Linked DNA regions of Lonchura striata. Each later gene encodes a partner of the first gene's protein in a complex. Links are inferred from orthologs where the notes say so. Each region holds a gene or a part of one and is shown in the gene's direction. Other genes may lie near its edges.

Region 1 (7,620 bases):
CTGAACCCCCAAACCCCCTCACCTGTGATCCCCCCCAGACCTGAACCCCCAAACCCCCTCACCTGTGAGCCCAAGACCTGAACTCCCAAACCTGCACACCTCACTAACACCTGAGCCTCCCAAACCTGCACCACTGACCAACACCCAAACTCCCAAAACTGCATCCCTCCCCTGTGAGCCCCCAACACCTGATCCCCCCAGACCTGCACGCCTCACTAACACCTGAACCCCAAACCCCTCACCTGTGAGCCCCCACCAGGTGGGGCAGCGGCTGCTGAGCTTCACCACGCCCGAGGCGAACATGAGGCGGAAGAGGAGCCAGCGCACGGCCCAGAAGGTGACGCCGTCGTGGGGTCTCCAGGCCGGGGACCCCCAGCGCAGCAGGCGCAGGGGGGCCACCAGCACGGCCAGGAACCCGGCCTCCAGCAGCAGGCTGTCCCTGGCCGTGGGGGACAGCGCTGGGACCCCCGGCCTGCACCCCACGCGGGGCTGGGGACACGGCTGTGCCCCACTTGTGGGGCTGGGGACATGGCCACGTCCTGTATGTGGGGCTGGGGACACAGCTGTGTCCCACTTGTGGGGCTGGGGACACAGTCACGCCCTGTATGTGGGGCTGGGGACATGGCCGTGCCCTGTATGTGGGGCTGGGGACACAGCCACGTCCCGCTCGTGGGGATGGGGACACAGTCACGCCCTGTATGTGGGGCTGGGGACATGGCTGTGCCCTGTATGTGGGGCTGGGCACACAGCCACGTCCCACTCGTGGGGATGGGGACACAGTCACGCCCTGTATGTGGGGCTGGGGACATGGCTGTGCCCTGTATGTGGGGCTGGGCACACAGCCACGTCCCACTTGTGGGGATGGGGACACAGCCACGTCCCGCTCATGGGGATGGGGACACATTCATGCCCTGTATGTGGGGCTGGGGACATGGCTGTGCCCTGTATGTGGGGCTGGGCACACAGCCACGTCCCACTTGTGGGGATGGGGACACAGCCATGTGCCGCTCGTGGGGATGGGGACACGGTCACCATCTAAATGCGGGGCTGAGGACACAGCCACACATCACATGTGGGGCTGGGGACACGGCCATGCCCTGTCTGTGGGGCTGGGGACATGGTCATGATCTATATATGGGGCTGGGGACATGGCCATCCCCTTTATGTGGGGCCGGGGACAAGGCCATACAATGAAAGAGGGGCTGGGGACAGGGCCATCCTCTGTATATGGGGCTGGGGACATGGCCATGTCCTGTATGTGGGGCTGGGGACACGGCTACATCCCACTCGTGGGGCTGGGGACATGGCCACACAGCAAAAGTGGGGCTGGGGACACGGCCACACATCACATGTGGGGCTGGGGACACAGTCATGCCATGCTTGTGGGGCTCCCCACCCTGATGTGCCTCAGTCCCCAAAGTCCCCCACAGCCCCCATCCTTGTCCCCACAGCCCCTGTCCTTGTCCCCAGAGCCCCCCACCCCACTGTGCCCCCACCCCAATCCCCAGAGCCCCCCCCACCCCTCACTTTGGTCCCCAGAGGTCCCCACCCCACTGTGGAGCCCCTTGTCCTGGTCCCCAGAGCCCCTCGTGTCCCCCACCCCACTGGGACCCTGTCCCACTCCCCAGACCCCTCTGTGCCCCCCATCCTGGTCCCCAGAGCCCCCCACCCCACTCCAGCACCCTCTGTGCCCCCCACCCCTCTGTGCCCCCCACCCTGGGGTCCCGGGGTGGTTCCCCAGCCCCGAGCCCCCCAAAATCCCTGGGGAGGGGGCTGGACTCACCACTGGAAGTACAGGAAGACCTGTCCCACCTGCGGAGAGGGAGCGGGCGGGGGGCTCAGATGGGGGGGTCTGACACCCCCAGACCCTTCCCCACGGGAGAGACCCCCGGGGCCCCCCTGGCACGGGAATCTGGGCCAAGGAGCAGAGGGAGGTGACAGCCAGCCCTGGGAGGTGACAGCCGCCCCTGGGAGGGATGGCCTCACACAGATCATTTATCCTTCCTTAATTTCCTGATTTCAGAGGGAAGTGAAACCTCCTCCCCCCACACCCGGCTCTGACCCACTGGAGCTCCAGCCCCAGGGAGGGTCCAGGGAATCCTGAGACGGTTTGGATGGGAAGGGACCCAAATCTCCTACAGTGCCACCCCTGCCATGGCAGGGACACCTCCCACTGTCCCAGGCTGCTCCAGCCCCAGTGTCCAGCCTGGCCTTGGACATTCCAGGGATCCAGGGGCAGCCCCAGCTGCTCTGGCAATCCCAGCCCAGCCAGGAATTCCTCATTCCCAATCTCCCATCCATGGCTGCCCTCTGGCAGTGGGAGCCATTCCCTGGGTCCTGTCCCTCCATCCTTGTCCCCAGCCCCTCTGCAGCTCCAGGCCGGGCTGGGTGGCCTCGGGCACGGCAGGAGGTGTCCCTGCCCGCGGGGGCTGGACCGGGCTGGGATTCACAGCCCCTTCCCACCCCAACCATTGCCTGGCTCCATCGCTGTGCCTCCCTCAGCACACCAGGAGCGGGCAGGACGAGCCAGCGCCCCGCTGTCCCTGCTGTCCTCACTGTCCCCTGGCTGTCCCCACTATCCCCTGCTGTCTCCCCTATCCCCTCTGTCCCCTCTGTCCCTGCTGTCCCCACTGTTCCTGCTGTCCCTGGGTGTCCTGGCTGTCCTCGCTGTCCTCACTGTCCCCCCCTATCCCTGCTGTCCCCTCTGTCCCCTGGCTGTCCCCACTGTCTCCTGCTGTCTCTACTGTCCCCCCTGTCCTTGCTGTCCCCTGGCTGTCCCTGCTGTCCCCTGGGCTGTCCCCGCTGTCCCCTGGCTGTCCCCCCTGTCCCCTCTCTCCTCACTGTCCCCTGGGCTGTCCCCCCTGTCCCCTCTCTCCTCACTGTCCCCGCTGTCCCCTGGGCTGTCCCCGCTGTCCCCTGGCTGTCCCCGCTGTCCCCTCTCTCCTCACTGTCCCCGCTGTCCCCACTGTCCCCTCTCTCCTCACTGTCCCCGCTGTCCCCTGGCTGTCCCCTCTCTCCTCACTGTCCCTGCTGTCCCCTGGGCTGTCCCCGCTGTCCCCCCTGTCCCCTCTCTCCTCACTGTCCCCCCTGTCCCCTGGCTGTCCCCCCACCTGGTACAGCGACAGGTAGAAGGCGGCGAGCGTGGCGAAGAGCAGGCAGTCCCGCAGCGCGTCGCAGAGCAGCGCCCCGAGGGCGCCCAGCGTGCCCAGCAGGCACAGCAGCTCCATGGCCTGCTCCGTGTCCAGCCCCAGGCGCGGGCCCAGCCACAGCAGCGTGGGCACGTCCCGCAGCTGCTGCCACAGCCCCCGGCCCGCCGGCCGCAGCACGCGCCGCGCCGGCAGCAGCCCCCGGCGCCCGTACAGCCCTGCCGCGGCGCCACGTTTACCCAGCGCGGGGTAAAAGCAGGGCTACAACTCCCCGCGGCAGCCCCTCGGGGCTGGGGGGTCTCAGGGGGGGCCTTTCCATAATTTATTTCCCAAAAATGGAACCTAATTCGGGGTTAACCCCAGATTTCCCCACTATCCCGGTTCCCCCGGCCGCACTCCCCGCCCCATCCCGGTTCCCCCGTCCCTATCCCCAGCCCTATCCCGGTCCCCCATCCCTGCCCCGGCTCTGTCCCGGTTCCTCCATCCCTATGCCGGCTCTGCTCCGGTTCTCCAATCCCTATCCCAGTTCCCCCACCCCTATCCCGGTTCCCCCGGCCCCTCTCCCATCCTTGTCCCGGTTCCCCCATCCCTATCCCGTTTCTCCCGGGGTTCTCCCGGCCCCACTCCCGGCTCTGCTCCGGTTCCCCCATCCCCATCCCGGTTCCCCCAGCCCCACTCCCGGCTCTGTCCCGGTTCTCCCGGTCCCACTCCCATCCCTATCCCGGTTCCCCCAGCCCCACTCCCGGCTCTGTTCCGGTTCCCCCGGCCCCACTCCCATCCCTATCCCGGTTCCCCCGGATCCACTCCCGGCTCTATCCCGGTTCCCCCGGCCCCACTCCCGTCCCTATCCCGGTTCCCCCGTCCCTGTCCCGGTTCTCCCTGCCCCACTCCCGTCCCTATCCCAGTTCTCCGGCCCCACTCCCGTCCCTATCCCGGTTCTCCCGTCCCTGTCCCGGTTCTCCCTGCCCCACTCCCGTCCCTATCCCAGTTCTCCGGCCCCACTCCCGTCCCTATCCCGGTTCTCCCGTCCCTATCCCGGTTCCCCGGCCCCACTCCCGTCCCTATCCCGGTTCCCCGGCCCCACTCCCGTCCCTATCCCGGTTCCCCCGTCCCTATCCCGGTTCCCCCGGCCGCACTCCCGGCTCTGTCCCTGTTCCCCCGTCCCTGCCCGGTTCCCCCGGCCCCTTGCCCGTTCCCCGCGGCGGTACCGGGGATCTGCACGTAGAGCGAGCCGAAGGCGGCGATGTAGACCGCGGCCAGCCCGGCCAGGAACAGCGCCCGCGGCCGCGCCAGCTCCGCCGCGGCGGCCATGGCGGCGCGGGCCCGGCGGCGCGCACCGTGACGTCAGCGGCGCCGTGACGTCAGCGGCGCGCGGGGCGCGTCACGGAGCGCGGGAAGGACGAAAATGGCGGCGGCGGCCGGGGGATGAGGAGGGGCCGGTGAGGGGCGGGACCGGGGACGGGCACCGGGACCGGGGACGGGCACCGGGACCGGGGACGGGCACCGGGACCGGGGACGGGCACCGGGACCGGGGACGGGCACCGGGACCGGGGACGGGCACCGGGACCGGGGACGGGCACCGGGACCGGGGACGGGCACCGGGACCGGGGACGGGCACCGGGATCGGGGACGGGCACCGGGACCGGGGACGGGCACCGGGATCGGGGACGGGCACCGGGACCGGGGTTGGGATGGGGACGGGGACCGGGGATGGGATGGGCACCGGGACCGGGGTTGGGATGGGCACCGGGACCGGGGATGGGATGGGCACCGGGATCGGGGACGGGCACCGGGAGCGGGGTTGGGATGGGGACGGGGACCGGGGATGGGATGGAGACGGGGATCGGGGATGGGCACCGGGACCGGGGATGGGATGGGCACCGGGAGCGGGGTTGGGATGGGGACGGGGACCGGGGTTGGGATGGGGACGGGGACCGGGGATGGGCACCGGGACCGGGGATGGGATGGGGACGGGGACCGGGGATGGGATGGGCACCGGGACCGGGGATGGGGATGGGATCGGGGACGGGCACCGGGAGCGGGGTTGGGATGGGCACCGGGACCGGGGATGGGATGGAGACGGGGATCGGGGATGGGCACCGGGACCGGGGATGGGATGGGGACGGGGACCGGGGATGGGCACCGGGACCGGGGATGGGATGGAGACGGGGATCGGGGATGGGCACCGGGACCGGGGATGGGCACCGGGACCGGGGATGGGATGGGGACGGGGACCGGGGATGGGCACCAGGACCGGGGATGGGATGGAGACGGGGATCGGAGATGGGGATGGGCACCGGGACCGGGATCTGGATGGGGACCGGGACCGGGATCGGGGTTGGGGTTTGGATGGGGACCGGGATCGGGGTTGGGGTTTGGATGGGGATCGGGATCGGGGTTTGGATGGGGTCCGGAATCAGGGTCATGATTGGAATTGAGGTTTGGGTGGGGATCAGGGTCACAGTCGGGTTTGATCTTTGGATGGGGACTGGGTTTGGGATCGGGATCATGGTCGGGATTGAGGTTTGGATGGGCACTGGGATTGGGATCAGGATCACATTGGGATCAAGGTTTGGATGGGGACCTGGGACCAGGGTCAGGATCCAGTCAGGATTGAGGTTTGGATAGGGATTGGGATCAGGGTGGTGGTTGGGATCAAAGTTTGGATGGGGACCGGTAGTGGGATCAGGATCATGGTTGGGATTGAGGTTTGGATGGGCACTGGGACTGGGATCAGTCAGGATTGAGGTTTGGATAGGGATCGGGATCAGGGTCGTGGTCGGGATTGAGGTTTGGATGGGGGCCTGGATCGGGATCATGGTTGGAATTGAGGTTTGGATGGGGATCAGGATCAGGATCACAGTCAGGATTGAGGTTTTGCTAGGGACTGAGATCAGGGTCACGGTCGGGATTGATGTCAAGAGTGCAATTGGGGTAGGGATCAAGATGGGAATTGGGGTCAGGGTCTGCATGGGGATCGGGATCAGGATTGAGATTGGAATTGAAGTTGGGGCTGGGATTGGGGTTGACGTTGGGATCAGGACTGGGGCAGAGTTAGGGGTGGGAATTGGGGTTGGGGTCTGCATGGGGATTGGGGTTGGGATCAAGATTGGAAATGAAGTTTGGGTTGGGATCGGGGTTGAGGTTGGGATCATGGACCGGGGCAGAGTTAGGGATGGGAATTGGGGTCGGGGTCTGCATGGGGATGGGATTGGGGTAAGGATCAGGGTGGGGACCGGGATCGGGGTTGGGATTGGGCTCCAGATTGGGATTGAGTTTCAGGTCGGGCTCAGGGTAGAGACTGGAGTTAGGCTCAGGATCAGGTCAGGATTGGGATCACGGTCAGGGTGAGAATCAGGGTCAGGGCTGGGATTGGGGTCACAATCAGGATCAAAGTCAGGCCCAGGCTTGGCAGTGGGATTGGGGTGGGGCTTTTCCAGCCCAAACAATTCCCTGTAGCCTGAGCTGTCTCCCCGTTCCCACGCAGCCGAGCCGTGATTCCTGCAGAGCTTCCCCAGGACACTCATTCCAGGGAGCAGCTCCCAGCCGCCTCTGGGCTCTCTGCAGGGGGATCCCACCATGGAAGAGGTGGATTCCCGCTTCCTGCACCTGCTGCAGCCCATCCGGGACCTCACCAAGAACTGGGAGGTGGATGTGGCTGCCCAGCTCGGGGAGTACCTGGAGGAGGTAACGGGGACACCCCCAGAGCTCCTCGTGTCCCCTGCCCTCCTTTGCCCTCTCCTTTTCTCCCTCCTTTTCTTCCTCCTTTTCCCTCTCCTTTTATCCCTCCGTTTCTCCCTCTTTTTATTCCTCCTTTTCCCTCTCCTTTTTACTCCTTTTCTTCCTTTTGTCTCTCTTCCTCTTCTTTTCTCCCTCTTTTTATTCCTCCTTTTCTTCCTTTTATCCCTCTTTTTCCCCCTCATTTTCTTTCCTTTTTCTTCCTCTCTTTCCCCCTCCTTTTATCCCTCCTTTTCCCTCTCCTTTTATACCTCCTTTTCTCCCTCTTTTTATTCCTACTTTTCCCTCCTTTTCTTCCTTTTCTCCCTCTCCCCCTTCTTTTCTCCCTCTTTTTATTCCTCCTTTTCTTCCCTTTATCCCTCTTTTTCTCTCTCATTTTTTTTCCTTTTTCTTCCTTTTCTTCCTCTCTTTCCCCCTCCTTTTATCCCTCCTTTTCTCTCTTTTTTCCTTTTTTTATTTCTTTTATTCCTCTTTCCCCTTCTATTTCTTCCTCTTTTTATCCCTCCTTTTCTTCATTTTTTCCTTCCTTTTCCTCCTCCTTTTCTCTCCTTTTTCCTCCTTTTATCTATCCTTTTCTTCCTCTCTTCCCCCTCCTTTTTCCTCCTCTTCTTCCTTTTCTTCCTCTGATTCCTCCTCCTTTTATCCCTCCTTTTCTTCCTTTTCTCCTTCCCTTTCCCCCTCCTTTTCTCTCTCCCTTTTTCTCCTTTTATGCCTCCTTCCTTTTCTCCCTCTCCTT
Region 2 (7,197 bases), on another chromosome or scaffold:
TCTAAACCTGCCCTCTGTCAGTTTAAAGCCATTCCATGCTCTTACAAAAATTCCCTCTCCTCTCTTGTAAACCCTTTAGGCACTGAAAGGTGCTCTAAAGTTTCTCCAGAGGCTTCAGGCCTCCGGGCTGAACACCCCCAGCTCTCTCAGCCCGTCTCCATCCTCCAGCCCCCTTCAAGATGTAATGACTAAGTATTTTGTCACAAAGCATCACAACAAAGCAACGAGATGCAAGTTGCAGTGTTTTCCTGGTTTAAACTGACTGGGTGTGGCTCCTGGCAGAGCCCGGCAGTAGCGGGGAGCTCCCGCGGGGCGGCAGCTCAGGACTGCGGCTCCGTCGGCAGCGGCTCCAGGGAGTGGCTCTCCCCAGCAGCTTTTGCTTTCCCTCTGCGCATTTTGTTTCCTTATTTTTATGTGAGTTAACAAGGATACGTTTTTTTTTCTTCTGCAGTGATTTTTTTCCCTACTTAATCTCTTAAACTCTAAAATTGATTCATGTTAATATTAATAATTTAAGGGAAATAAGCCTTTTCACGGTCTAATCACACCAGCATTGAGAAGTGACAGTTGCCTCTGAATAAAGGATGGCATGATTGGCAGGATTACCTTCAGGCAAGGAGAGATCTGGAGAGAAGTGGAATAGTGTGAAACTTCATCTCTCTCCCATGCTGTTCAGATTATTTATCAAAGTATGTGAAGATCAAAAAAAAAAAAAAAAATCAAGGGAAACGCATGCATGTAAATTATTAACAGCCTGCCTCAGAGGATGAGCAGATTTTGTTCATACTGTTTTAACTATAACAAGTTTTATTACATATTCAAAGAAAAAGAAGTTACAACTCCAACATGGTAGTAGATAACGTGTGAAATAATCTCATAAGAAAATATTATCTACAAAATAACATTGTAAATATAAGAAAATATTGTCAAGAAAGTAGCTGACGTACAGGGAACTACCTGTTTATTTTTTATTTATATTGTTGACTCTTATGGGTTGAAATGGAATGCTTGCTCTAGTCCAAACAATATTCTGGTGTGAGCCATCTGTAACCGAGATCTGTAATGCAGACCACCAACAAGAATAAAGACTGGTTCATGAAGCAGTAGCACAAAAGCAAATCTTTATTTGCTGTTGCTCAGCAACCATGTGCGAAAGGCCCATTTTTCATTTTTGCCTTAACTTGACAGGAAAATGATAATAAATATGAGATTATTATCACAGTGTATAGATTATTTTGAACAGATGAACAGATATGTCAAAGAGAGGTATGTAATTTGGTAATCTTGAAAGGGAGAATATTAGAGAAACTGAAAATAGAGTTGTAGGTTTATTACTGGCTTGCAGTTCATGCACAGTTCTTGAAAAAAACCTAGAAAACATTATTCTGTCTCTCTGGTTTCTCTATATGGTCCATTAAAATGAATCACTTGGTGTTATTCAGCCTGTTGTTATCTGTGTCAACTTCTAGTTTCAATACTGTGAAACAAACCATTCTGTGGTTGCTATGCAACAGAAGTTAAAAACTAAAATATGTTTTATTTTGTTTGCTAAAATGATACGTGCCCAACTAAATAAACAGTAACCAGGTGACTAAAGTGGCATCTAATTAAAAGACAAATCAAGGTATTAATGAAATATTCAGCCTACATGAGTCATGATAATAAATCCATCAGTTTGTATCTAAAATGGCAAAGATTTTTAATATATGCAGAAAATTTTTAATATAAGCATACATTAGCATAATGTATAAATTTTAGGGGTTATACTTTTTAATTTGTTTTTATAATTCTACAGGTATGCTGATTGCCCATCCAACTTATTCCAAGCAAACTGTTTCACAGGCTCCTTGCACTTAGCTGAATATGTAACTTGGGATATAAAGTCAGGTCCACAGGATGTGAAAAAGCCAGCTTCTTTTATCAAATAAATGTGCTAGAAAATGCAAAAAATCTTATTTTTTAATGTAAACTAAAACTGTGAAAGGCAGGATCATTAAGGAAGAATCTATGTTAAAAATTAAAACAGCAGAATATGTAAATGCTACTTTTAAAGGAGTGAATTTTTATCTTTAATATGAAATAAATTCTGAGTTACATAATATATTTTAAAATTACAGTCCTGAAAAGTCCAACCAGATATGATAACTTCTATGGAAATTATAGTTGGGTTTCTGTTTGTTTGCACAGTAGAGCAGCACATTCTGTACTGCTTCTACAGACTGGAAGTAAATTGCTTCAGTTATGTACTGCTCTCTTCTGAACAGCCAACACTACTGAAAATGCCAAGTGGAAAGATACAAACTAAGCCCTTAACAATACACTTTGACTGTTTTGGTTTGCAGAAGATCTCAAATAAATGGAATGGGGAATATTATAGAATTCAAAATCTAACTCTATTTCCAAACACTGCAAAGAAGAAACAGAAGATATAATTTCCTGATACATTAAAAAAATCCTTAGTTATCAAACTCTAAATATTATCTGGTTTACATAATCTGGCATATATTCTGTACATTCTCGCATATAGGCTGTTTAACTCTTGATTGCTTTTGGATGAAGAGTGCAAAGTACTCATATTGTTCACCAGGACTGTGAGGAAAAGCATAGCTGTCAGCAATAGCAACAATAACATTATTGGAGAAAAAAGCCACCAGTGTAATCATATGCATGATGTTCTATAAAAGCATTTATGTCCACGTTACCAGAGATCCATGGAGGAAGGAATTCTGTTTCCTAAGCATGAAAATGAATTTAACTGATCATGTCTTACCCCCATTTGGAAGCACTGACGCTTTGCAGGCAGGTACAGAAAGGCAACAGTGAGCGGGGCGGTGGGTTTGAACGATGGCAGCTGCCTCTGGGTAAGTGATGGATGTCACCGTGCCTCCAGCCAGCCTGGGTCAGAAAGCAGCAGAGGAAGGAGCTTTCAGCGTGGCCAAAGCTGCTGGGATATGAAAAAATTTTATGATTGGCTTTTCGCAAATGTTACAATAAATATGTGTAATGTTAGAAAGTTATGCTGTATTCATTTTCTTATGTAGTGTGTTAAATGTAGTTTTAAGTTACAGCATAATCTTAAAATAGAAACTCTGCGATATAAGATTTGTTACAAGCTCAAGCAGGGAGATAATCAAGAAACTCTTCACATAGAGATGTCAGCGAGCAGGGCCCATAAAAAGTCAGAAACTTCCACCTTCTCTCCATCTTTGTAGAACCAACAAAATTAAGGAGAAGTTGACAAAACCCAAAGTTCTTAATTTGCAAAAAATTTATGCATCATGTATGAGATATATGAATATGCAACAGGCTATTGCTTTTAAGGTTATTCCTTTGTTCACAAGGTATGCTTTTCGTGACTTAGTGTCCAAGAGCATCCTAAGGTCTGTAATTCTTTGCTTTTTATTGTCTTATAATTATCCTAACTCTAAACTTTATTACTCTAATTATATTATTATTTTATAACCATTTTATTATTATTAAAATGTTAAAAGCTGCACCAAAGGAGGTTCAGGTCGAACATTAGGAGGAATTTCTTTACAGAAAGGCCGATTGGAATGGGCTGCGCAGGGAGGTGCTGGAGGCGCCCTCCCTGAAGGTGTCTAGGAAAGACTGGAGGTGGCACTCAGTGCCATGGTCTAGTTGACCTGGTGATGTTGGGTCATCGGCTGGACTCGGTGACCTCAGGAGCCTTTTCCAGCCCAGCTCACCGTGTGCGTCCCCGAGTTTGGAACCGTGCGTCCCCGAGTTTGGAACCCTGCGCCCCCTCACGGCCTCCTTTCCCCCAGCCGCCCTCAGCGCGGGAAGGGGCGGGGGCTGCGGCCGAGTTCTCGCGAGACGGGACGGGAGTTCCGCGGCGCGCGCTCAACGCCGGCCGCGGGAGGATTCGAAAAGTGGCGGGTGAGGGAAGGGCCGGGCGGGGCCCGGAGCGCCCCCGGAGCCTCGGGGTGTCCAGCAGGGTCCCGGAGCGTCCCCGGAGCCTCGGGGTGTCCAGCAGGGTCCCGGAGCGTCCCGGAGCCTCGGGGCGTCCAGCAGGGTCCCGGAGCGTCCCCGGAGCCTCGGGGTGTCCCCGGGTGTCCCCTCCGAGCGGCTCCCGGGGCCGGTGTCTCCTCCGGCGCTGCTGCCGTGCGCCGCGGGCTCTTCGCTCGGCTGAGGCGTCCCGCGGATCCGTGAGGGTTCGGCCGCTCCGAGGGAGCCCCAGGTAAGCGGCACGTCCGGCTCTCCGCTGCCTGCTCGGCCCGGCCTGGCCGAGCCCCCGGGTGCCCCGGGACGGGGCCCGGGAGCGGCCCCCGCCCCGGTCTGTGATGTGACTTGATGCTGTGTAAGTCACTTTCCCACCTGGGAAAGCACGTCGGGAGACACCTAGCATGGAGGCAATGTTAACGTGCGCAAATAAGGCTCTTGGTGGCCTTGTCCATTTCCCATGGTTTTCTCTTGATAGACGAAATTACTTCTCTTTTTCTTTACTACCCCTTAGTGCTTCTTATATAAATAAATACTGTTGTTGGGACTGATAACCAGTTTAAATAGCGGTTTTGTGCTTAAGAATGCATTGTGCTTTTTAAAAATCAGAGTATTCATTAGCAATTTATTCTGCTTTAAGACTTATTTACTAAAAAAAAAAACCACCACGAAAAAGAAAACAAGCCCTGCAGCCTAGTGATGTTGTGAATCTAAATCCTGATTTAGATAACTAAAATATGTTGGAGGGGAAAACTGCTTTAACTATGTAGTGCATGTATAACTACTGTAATATATAACATATATAAATTAATGCTATGTATATAACTGATAGATGACTACAACAGACCAAAATGATCTTGTTTTGGTGTACAGTACCTTCTCTAACATTATGTTTTGGTTATAAAGTAGGGAAGACCAATTCCAGGATGAAACGCGAAGCATTTTTGCAAGTTGTGTCTAAAGAGACAATTGAAGACTTCCTGTGCTACACTCAGAATCGTGTAAGTGAGCCAGTGTATACGTTTATCACTCCTGGAGTCATAAGTCTCTTACAAGTGCAGAAATCATGTGACAAAGGGACAGAAACTAAACTATTTGTCTGATATGTGGGAGTAATTGCTGTAGAAAATAAGTTCAAGTGGCACTTGAGGGAATATAGGCTGAAAAAGTGGTGGAATCTGAAATATGAATGTTTATAAGCCAACTGATTTTTTGAGATTTGGTTGTTCCACATACCATTTTTAAAGAATAAATTATTAGTATTTGTGTAATTAATTCTAAACAAATATTAATTTCGTGTTGCTGAAATATTGCATTGTTAAATTTCAACCCATGAAAGAGTATTGGTATATGATGAATAAGAGTTTATGTACAAACGTAGCAGAATTGTGTTTCACTAGAATTTCTTCATCCATTTAAAAGTTTGGGCTGTCCACTTGTTCTTTGGTCCATGTTTAATTTTACTTGATTGTTCTTTCTATCACTGAATGCTTTAGAATAGGGGTAGATTGCTCTCTTGAAAGGAAGTGTGGAGAGAACAGGGAGGAACAACAAAACAAATCCCCTGAAATCTAGTATTGAAAGCTCATTCTCATATTATATATATATTGCATAATAATAGAAATAATAATTTGCATTGAGGGGTTTTCCACTCACCTTCAATCTGTCTGGTGTTAAGATATAGCTGAACTCTTCTCAACATCTTTTGCTTGCTGCCATAAATGGAATTGTCAAGTTATTTCTTAAGCTTTCTAATGGGTATTTTCCTGGCAGTACCTGTGCCAGGATAAAGTGGATCAGTTGACCTCTGTGTGCACAGAGGCATGAACTGATTTAATGTAGCAACTATTAAACTCACCATCATGTTGTATATAATAAGCTTACAGAGTTTGTCTCCAAAACATCCTTGAATCTTTCCCCAAGAAATTTGCTATTCCTTTCATTTGTGTTCCTGTATGGATGACAACTTTATTACCAGATTGCCTCTGATTAAAGTCTCCTTCCCATTTTTCCTTAAATCTGAACACTTTAACAAAAAACTATTCACTTTAGTATTCACTTACAGTGTTTCTTTTTCAGTTGATTTGGTTGTGTTGATTCTGCCATCTGCAATCAGTAATTTATTTTAATGTGCCATGAGCTATTTGGATTTAAAATGGTTGGGGTTTCTTTCATCCTTTAGTTTTTCACCACCAATTCACAGTTCTCTTGCAGCAGTTTTCAGCTGTTGCCAATATCTCTGGAAATTTTATGTCACCAGCTAAAATGAGTATGCTGATTAAAATTGTCTTCATGTCTTTGGAGCATAAGGGAGCACAAATATTCACATGACTTTTTGACTGTCCAAGGTACTCCAATTATTTTATTAATTTCCTTTTGAAACCTCCAACAATGGAGGATGCGTGACCATGTCTTAATATGAGGATCCTCCTTTTTGGATCTCCCTTGAAAAATTCTTGATTGCTTTTCTGGAGGAGGTTGTGGTTAAATAGATCATCAATAAAGCTTCACTGCTTCCCTTAGTTTGTGTATTATATTTGGTACTTAGTTGGTACTCTAGCCTTAGAATTTACTTTTTAAACTCTCTTCAAAGTTCAGTATTTAGCATCACTTCTTCTTTCAGTGTCTGTTTTCTACCTACGCCCCAACCCCCTTTTTGCTTCCCCCTTGAACTTTTCTTTTCCACACTCTATAAATATTTAGATTCATCTGTGTCTTCTAGATTTCCAGGGCTTTACTAATTTTCTGTCAAGGTTTCTCATGGGCTTTTCATTTTTTCCTTTGTAATATTTTAAAAAGGTCATAATGTGGTGCTCTTCATTGAGATCTTCAGCAGATGCTGTTAGTTTTTTCCACTAAATCCTATTCCAATTCAAGAAAATATATGAATAATTTCTTAGAATAAGAATATAAGAATAATTTCTTAGACAGAAAAATAGGAATCACAGATATGATTGTCATTCACTGTCATCCTTTCTCCTCATAGATTTTGGAATAATTCTGTCTCATATCATCCCAAAGAAAAATCTAAAAGCACTGATCTTATTACGAGTTGATTCTTTCTGTTCAAAACGGTACAATCTTAATATCCTATCTTTTGGGTTTGTTTAAAGCACAGGGCTGCAGAACTCCCTGTGAGGCCTTTGGTTTATTGTATTTGTTTTCAGGTGTAGGATAGGATAAATATGTAACAGGATCTTTCTTCTCATATCCTTCTGAGAACTTTCTGATACTTAC
Region 3 (7,565 bases), on another chromosome or scaffold:
GGAAGTGTTCAAAAAACATCTGGATATGGTACTTGAGACCATGTCTACTACATGGACAAACTACATTCATTTACTGGTGAACATGGTGATGCTAGGTTGGACTTGATGATCTAAAAGGTATTTTTTCCAATTTTAGCAGTTCTGTGGGGCACAGCAGTTGATGTGGGCTGACAAAAAAAGCTGAAGTTTCTTAAAGGGCCTGCTGTGCTTTCCTAGTCACTGCATGGCACCCTAAATTTCCTTTTAGGCACTTTTATTACTTCTGCCTTACTTAAATGTTGAAACATATGTTGTAGCATCAGTAAATGCAAAATTTTACCAAAACTGTAGAGACACCCCATGTAGCCCAGTTTCACTTCTTAGATTTGCAACAACAGGCCAGTACTGCCCCACAGAGAGAAATGTTTAATCTGCTTGATTTTACAACTGCCAAAGAAAGCTTTGGGTTCTTAAAAGCATAGATTTCTACAAATGTTAAACACCCCCTTGCAGTGTACAGATCTCTTGCAACATCATGACTAAGTGAACTCAGAAGGGAAGTGACAAAATTCGAGCTGATGCTTTCAATTTCTGTAATATAACAAGGGTAGCTTCATCACTGAACAAGTTCCTGCTTGAAACATGCACAACCAACTTCTCCCTCAAGACAGAAACCCGCTGCTCCGGCCTGCTTAGCATATACATACATCTGATCTGGTATCTGTTACCTTTTATCTTATAATATTTAAAAGACAGATAAATTAAAAATTAAAGGGACATGAGGAAAAAAAGAAGATGAAATGAACAGGTTTTATGCCTTTATTAGTGTTCAACTCTTTATTAAAAAGTCAGCTCGGCAGGGGGGGTGTTTGTAGCTTCTTCCGGTAGCTGAAGGGCGAGAAGGCGTACAGAGTCTGTCCCTGGAGTCTCCGTGGCACACTGGTAGCCAGAGGTGAAGAGGTGTCCAGTCTGTATCTGAAGTCCCGATCAGCAGAGCGTCCTCTCTCTTTTTCTCCTGGCACACTGGTAGCCGAAGGGTGGGGGGATGTGCAGAGCCTGCTGCTGAGATCCCGCAGCAGCTATCCCTCTCCTTCCCTCCTGGTAACACCAGGTAGAGTGTCTGATTCCTTGTGCCTGCTTCCCACAGCCCAGTCCAATCTGATCCTCTGCAGGTTATAGTGACAGGTTAAACATAGACTAGGGATGGGGTCCCTTTTCCCCAACCAACACACCCATCCAGCCCCCTCCACTGTGCCCCTCTTTTTCATTTTGGGGTGTTTTTCATCCCCAAAACCCCCTCCCATGATTCCACTGGCTTATTTTGCATCCTAGTCCTAGTTTGGGTGGGGGTGTAGGTGATTCCCAGGGGCGATTAGCTAATTAACATTTCAATGTCAGTACTTAGGTCGAGCCAAGTGTCCCAGCCAGGCTGTTTTGTTCATAACAGAAGAGGTATGTCAACAAGAGTCCAAGGAAACAAATTTTAAGAGTGGAAGTACAGATCAGATTGTACACAGACATGCGAAGCTGTATTACTTTTGAAAGATAAAGATTTCACAATCTCTTCAGGCAACCTGTTCTAATATCTGACCTTGACATGGCTTGGCAGGGGGAAATCTCAGGACTCTCCATGCGCCACTGGAAAATACTGTTTAGCAAACAACATTTATCATCTCTTACCATGCATTCCCCTCAGATGAGGTGGGTTCCATTCTCTTAAAACTGTCTTGCTAAGCAGCTAAAGAAGGCAGCAGAAACAATAGCTTTTGTTTCTGGAAACTGAACAAAGCCATTTCTCTCTTGATTTTCCTTCATCATCTTGGTGACCCTACTCTGGATTTGTTCATGTGTGTCAGTGACTTTCTTCTACTAGGGAACTGAGAACACTGGATGCAGTTGGATCCAAGTTCAGGGTAGTGGGGAAAAGATTCTGCTCTTCCAGGTCATGACTGTCTACATCTTTCATAAAGATATCAAAAATTATGGCTAATAGTGGGCTGCCAACTGGACTTTGTCCTCTGTTGGACATCCTCCAATTTAGGGACAAGTTTAACTCACCAGTTTGTCTCTGAGGTAGGGCTAGATGAACACTCAGATTTACAGAACATAGGAAATATCTCAGTCAGAATTCACAGTCATCATTCATTTGATCAGTATCATTCATTTGATCAGTGTTGATCACTGGCAAGAGGCAGATCTGTCAGGTGTCATATGTCACTGAAAGATAGCTTCTTTATCATGACACTGGGACTCCTAGGATGGCATTTTTCACAGATGCAATCCCACCACTAGACCTTCACTTACAGCAGGAAACACTTTGCTACTCCAGTCCTGTTGAAGGGTGTGGGAAGAGAGGTGGTTTGCCATTGAAGACAGGCAAAAAATTTGTTGAGTACCTCAGTTTTCTCATTCACTGCTACCTGTTTGCCAGCCTTGCATTTCCCACAGTGGTATGTGTGTGTACACTTTCTTTGACTTCTTCTGTCAAAGTAACATACCTGTAGAAACCCTTGTTGTTATTCTTAGCATTCCTTGTCAAGTTCAGCTCCAGATGCCCCCTGGCCTTCCTCAGCCCATCCCTACATAATCAGACTCCCTGTATTCTTCCCAGATATCTGTGTCTGCTTCCACTGCCTCCGCATGTCCCTCTTGCCTTTTTGTTTGACTCACTCATGCTGATTTCTTGCCTTCCTTACCCAATTTCTTGTGACTGGGCATCACTAGCTCTTGTGTTCTATGGAAGGTGTCCTGAAAAATATGTCACCTCTTGTAAAAAAGGCAGTTTTGCACAGGATTCTACTGACTAGCACATTGAACAGCTGGAATTTTGCTTCCCTGAAGTTCGATAAAGTTCTTATAACAATAATAAAACCATTCCTAGATAGCCAGCTGCTAAAAATATATTTTCCTTGCTCAAACCATGTGTTATATTCGCTCCAAGGTGCTAACTGCATGTTAAATATCTACAACCGGATTTATATTCCTTAAAATGAAGCACTCAAATTTAAGCCTTGTGACATCAAAGCTATTACAGATCTACTTAAGAACTTATTTCTTAATACTTAAGAAATTATTTTTCTTTCCCACATCATATGTAAATGGGGACAAACATGGCTGTCTTCCTATGATGAAGCCTCTCACATCAGAATTGGTTCTGCTTTATTACTATTTCCTTATTTCAGGCTGTGGTTAATCTGGATGGAAAAGGAGCAGGCGGAGCAGGTACAGTACTAGGTCCCCAGCTGCCAGCTCCATCAACCACACATTGAGAAGGACTTTGGCCATTTGAAGAACAACCAGGTGCCACCTTCAGTGTAGTCCAAGCAGCCACCTCTAACAGAAACAAACCAGGAACTTTCCTGCAGGCAAGAAACACTCCAGTATGTTTGCCACAGAAGGTAAATTCAAAAATAATTTGGGAGCATTTTCAGTTTGCTAAATAAAGAGTGGGCTGCATAGTTACACAGTATCAATCTGACTCTTGTCCAAATTAAAAATAGTTTTTCCCAATATAGGTTCCAGATGTAAGCAAGTGAACTGCAGATAAGGGACCATCAAGTACTTCTGGCTACAGTAGCTCCAGCAGCAGTGCTGTCACGCTAATGCCTTAAACAGCTGCATCCAATATAATTCGTGCAGCAAGCAAATGCACTATATTTTTCTTCCCTAATGCAATGTAGACCTTCAGTCTGAATTATTTCGAATTACTGAAATAACATCAAACTCAGTAGTCCAGGGCACAAAGTTTTACAGCAGACCTCAACAGTAACGCTGTGCAGCTGCAAAGTCCTGGTCTACCTACACAGCACGACAAAAGCAAGCTCAGAAACGAGTAAATGCATCCAGCCGACTTTGCCTTCCTGCTTTGAGCAGCGCAGCAATGGACAGACAGCTACCTTTCTTCCAATGACACGTACTCACGTTTTGAACAAGCTCTCCTTATTCTGCTCGAATGGAAGCATGTCTGTATAAATTACAATAATAGATTTGAACAGGCATAAATAGCGCTTGGGTTTTTTTTTTTTATTCTTTGGGGAGGAGGGAGTGGGTTAGGGGTGGCATAGTAGGAATGCGTGTAGGAAGTATAGAACAGCACTTCTTTGATTTTGATGTAATTTCAGGGAGGACAAAGCCACTTCCCGCCGCAGCCCGGAGCTAACGCTCAAGCTCCTCAGCCGCGCTGCAGAACTCACCACGAACTTACCAAGCGCCTTCCCGCCCACCCCCATCTCCCTCACGGGCGCCCGGCCGTCCTCCCCGCCATGGGCCGCCACCCGCCACTTTCCGCCCCCGTCAGAGCCGGAGGAGCCCTTTCCTAGCCGCGCCCGCCTTTCTGCGCCCGGTGCGCGCCGTCCCTCCCGGCCAGGCGCCCCCGGCACCGGCCAGGCGCCCCCGGCACCGGCCAGGCGCCCCCGGCACCGGCCAGGCGCCCCCGGCACCGGCCAGGCGCCCCCGCTGCGCCCGCTCCGCCGGGGTGGGGCGGGCCGGCCGCGCTGAGGGCGCGGCGTGGCCGCCATCAGGCGCCGCCCCTAACGGTCGCAGCGGTCGGCGCCAAAATTTGATCGTGGCGGGCGGCGCGGAGCGGGTGCGGAGGAGCGAGTGAGGCGCTGGCATCGAGGGACAGCCCTGCACGGGGGTGAGCGGGCGAGGGGCCGGGAAGGGAAGCAGGCCTCGCACGGCCGATGCGGCGCCAGAGGCGGCAGGGAGGGCTCGCTGGAGCAGGGCCGCGGGCGGCAGCGGTGGGGATGGGGCTCTGCTGGGTCCTCGCTCGGAGCCCGGGCTGCCGCTTCCCGGGATTCGTCCCTCGCGGGCGGTGAGGCTGGACAGGTACGGCAATTCCGCAAGCGGGAGAGGGAGACCGCGCCGTGTCGCTTTGCGACAAACCGTGGCTTTGCCGCGAGTCTATAGCCGAGTGTTCTGATAAACTGTGCGTAAAGTCCCTTAGAAATGCCGAAGTGCAGTTGGGATACTGCCTGGATCTGTGGTTTACTTGGCTTTTTTAGTTTATAAATGTATTATACTTTTGTTGTAAAAGGCATGCGTTCTTTCATTTCCTCGGGTCTAGTTGTTTGTTTGGCAGTATCATTCATTTGATTATTTTTTTTCTTTGATGTGTATAGGATTATACTCCGGATACCTTTCTCAGTGCTCAGAGGAATACTTGGCCTGGAATACCTTTTGGGAGCATTGGGAAGATGTACATTAAGTCAATTGTTCTTGAAGGTTTTAAATCCTATGCTCAGAGGACGGAAATTAGTAACTTTGACCCGCTATTCAATGCCATTACTGGCTTGAATGGTAGTGGCAAATCCAATATCTTGGACTCCATCTGTTTTGTGCTGGGAATCAGCAATCTGTCACAGGTAAAGAGATAGGACATTTAAGAAAAGTCTTTCTTCTGTTAGCAACTTTTAACGTTACTCTAGTGAGTAACCTCCCACGGAAGACCTGACATGGTGTGTCTTTGAAAGAAATATTTTCATTATTTCGATATTTCATTGCATTAATCTGGGTCTCTATCATTGTTGCTCAGCCTTATGTTGAGTTACAACTTCATCCACGTACCACAGTTACACAAGTATGTGGCTTAAAACAATATAGACTAAAAATAACCACTTAAAAGCTAACAGCTTCAAGCTAAAGGTCCTTTTTGCATCTACAGGCACTAATTTACTAATTTGTAATAAATGTTTTCAGTTCTGGATTAAGTCTTAAAATCTGGCTACCTGGTTCATCAGAAAAAGATTTAAAAGTGATTTTCATACAATGCTTATTATTTAAGTGATAATATATCTGCTTTATTTTTACTAAAATATATGTGCTTTGACATCAGTTTCAATCTCTGTCTGAAGATGATTTTTAAATTTGCTTTCTTTCCCATCCCTACCTTCCCCCAGCTGTTGACAAAGCAGGCAGCCCTCTAAGGAACATTTTCTGAATCATTTTCCTGTGAACTGCATTGTGAAAAATAAGTGTTTGTTAAATAAATTTACTGTCAGCTGGCTTTTTTTACAGATGTATTCAGTGTTTTTCAGGAGCCTCATGCAGAAACAGTTATCTGGATAAGTAAAACTAGACTGGCACACACTGTAGTTTCACAATGATAGCACCTTGCAGCTCCCGTGTGCCAGTTCACATGAACTCAAATATGCAGCTAGATCTTTGGTTTTTATATTGATTTCTCCAAGACCTACAGTATTACAATTAAAATGTTAATTTCTTTCAAAAAAGTATTTATCTGTTCCCTGAACTTAGGTGCGAGCTTGCAACTTCCATGATCTAATTTATAAGAGTGGGCAAGCTGGAATTACAAAAGCAACTGTGTCTATTAACTTTGATAATTCAAACAAAAGTCAAAGTCCACTGGGATTTGAAGCTAATGATGAGATCACTGTGACTAGGCAGGTAAGCCTTTAATATCTGTATTTTTTCATAACCTATTTACATTTTTACCATGCTCATGAGTGGGCAGGGAAAAAGGGGGTGATTTTCTGAGTTTCTGCAGTAGAGGCAAGGTTTCTATGTTGCTTTTATAGTGTAGTTAGTTAGAAAAACTGTACCAGTGTACGAGCTAGAAATGTTCATAAAGCAAGTTAAAATTTTCTACCTTGCGGCTTTTACTGCTTTCATATCTTTCTTCTTAATATCTGAACTCTGTGTTAAATTTGGCCTCCAATAGCGAAGGAACCTTTATTTTTCTGGTGAAGATGTTGGGTTTTGGGTTTTGATTACTTTTTGATTATTTTTTTTTAACGTAGAGTTTTTGGAAGGTTTCTTGACAGTATTTTCCTCAATGACTAATCTTATATTTTAGTTAAATATTTTCGATGTCAAACAAGTTCTGTTTTGATGTTCTGCACAGTTTGTACATACATACATATGCAAAAATATAACAAGTGTGATTTGCTCAGATTTTTTTGTTCTTTATTGCAGTTTATATTCTCACAACACCAAGCAGTTTTTTTGTCTTTGTTCTCTAGGTTGCTGTAGGAGGTAGAAGTAAGTATCTTATCAATGGTGTGAATGCTGCCAACAGTCGTGTGCAGGATTTATTCTGTTCCATTGGACTGAATGTCAATAATCCTCATTTCCTCATTATGCAGGTATTGTGTGCATCTTTATAAAATCCAGAAAGAGTAGGACTTGTACTAAATTTAAGATGGGGAGATAGTAGGAAAATAATTAATTCCTAATTAGAGTGTCATTTTACCAAGAAAAAATGAAGTCTGTTAAGTCATTAATATTTCCAGTACAGCATAGTTTGACCCTAAAACACATCTTGTAGCACAAGACCTCATGCGGCCCTCATGTTAGCAAAACTTTTCCGAAATATATTCCCATTTTATTTTTTTTTCTTCTTAACAGCTAGGTATTGCTTTTATAAATATTATAAAATGGTGGGTTTTATTTGCTATTATTTGTGCTCCCATGTTAGACAGCACCTTGAATGAGGTTGAGATATGTACCTTCTTAAGTCAAAATTATCAAAAGAAAGTTGACAAATTGGGAGGACTGTAAGGGACTAGGCAAATCCCTGAAATATTTGCAAGGAATAATAAAACAGAGGATTTATTGATTCAAAGGTA

The links. Proteins that work in one complex are often made in the same cells at the same time.
Region 2: the proteins of NCAPH2 (region 1) and NCAPG2 are in contact, whole or in part, in a cryo-EM structure (PDB 9F5W), measured with the Homo sapiens proteins. The link is inferred for Lonchura striata from reciprocal best matches to the Homo sapiens genes NCAPH2 and NCAPG2. Residues at the interface, in NP_689512.2 of Homo sapiens: Pro316, Trp317, Gln318, Ser319, Leu320, Pro322, Phe323, Asp324, Ser325, Leu326, Glu327, Ser328, Lys329, Pro330, Phe331, Lys332, Lys333, Gly334, Arg335, Pro336, Tyr337, Ser338, Val339, Glu344, Gln360, Asp361, Phe362, Gln364, Trp365, Tyr366; in NP_001268861.1 of Homo sapiens: Lys248, Leu251, Gln252, His292, Ile294, His295, Leu296, Pro297, Arg299, Ser300, Val302, Lys340, Ala341, Arg342, Asn343, Ser344, Glu345, Val346, Pro388, Tyr389, Pro390, Arg393, Gly425, Glu426, Ala428, Phe429, Asp430, Thr431, Ser432, Arg437.
Region 3: the proteins of NCAPH2 (region 1) and SMC2 are in contact, whole or in part, in a cryo-EM structure (PDB 9F5W), measured with the Homo sapiens proteins. The link is inferred for Lonchura striata from reciprocal best matches to the Homo sapiens genes NCAPH2 and SMC2. Residues at the interface, in NP_689512.2 of Homo sapiens: Glu46, Phe53, Ile54, Glu55, Leu58, Leu59, Gly62, Ser63, Ala64, Cys65, Val66, Lys69, Tyr73; in NP_001036015.1 of Homo sapiens: Leu93, Thr125, Gln128, Asp129, Cys132, Gly135, Leu136, Asn137, Met173, Tyr174, Lys177, Lys178.

What each region holds. Positions count from the first base shown.
Region 1 is NC_134607.1:72,683,216-72,690,835, reverse strand, and holds the start of NCAPH2 (condensin-2 complex subunit H2), read left to right. Parts: upstream 1-4,530; 5' UTR 4,531-4,585; intron 4,586-6,633; 5' UTR 6,634-6,725; coding exon 6,726-6,833; intron 6,834-7,620. Other genes in the region: LMF2 (lipase maturation factor 2), read right to left, coding at 243-439, 1,784-1,812, 3,111-3,364, 4,355-4,457. UniProt on the Homo sapiens protein: Regulatory subunit of the condensin-2 complex, a complex that seems to provide chromosomes with an additional level of organization and rigidity and in establishing mitotic chromosome architecture.
Region 2 is NC_134603.1:147,495,851-147,503,047, forward strand, and holds the start of NCAPG2 (condensin-2 complex subunit G2), read left to right. Parts: upstream 1-4,144; 5' UTR 4,145-4,198; intron 4,199-4,866; 5' UTR 4,867-4,886; coding exon 4,887-4,961; intron 4,962-7,197. UniProt on the Homo sapiens protein: Regulatory subunit of the condensin-2 complex, a complex which establishes mitotic chromosome architecture and is involved in physical rigidity of the chromatid axis.
Region 3 is NC_134642.1:61,416,372-61,423,936, forward strand, and holds the start of SMC2 (structural maintenance of chromosomes protein 2), read left to right. Parts: upstream 1-4,512; 5' UTR 4,513-4,615; intron 4,616-5,099; 5' UTR 5,100-5,174; coding exon 5,175-5,342; intron 5,343-6,234; coding exon 6,235-6,384; intron 6,385-6,959; coding exon 6,960-7,082; intron 7,083-7,565. UniProt on the Homo sapiens protein: Central component of the condensin complex, a complex required for conversion of interphase chromatin into mitotic-like condense chromosomes.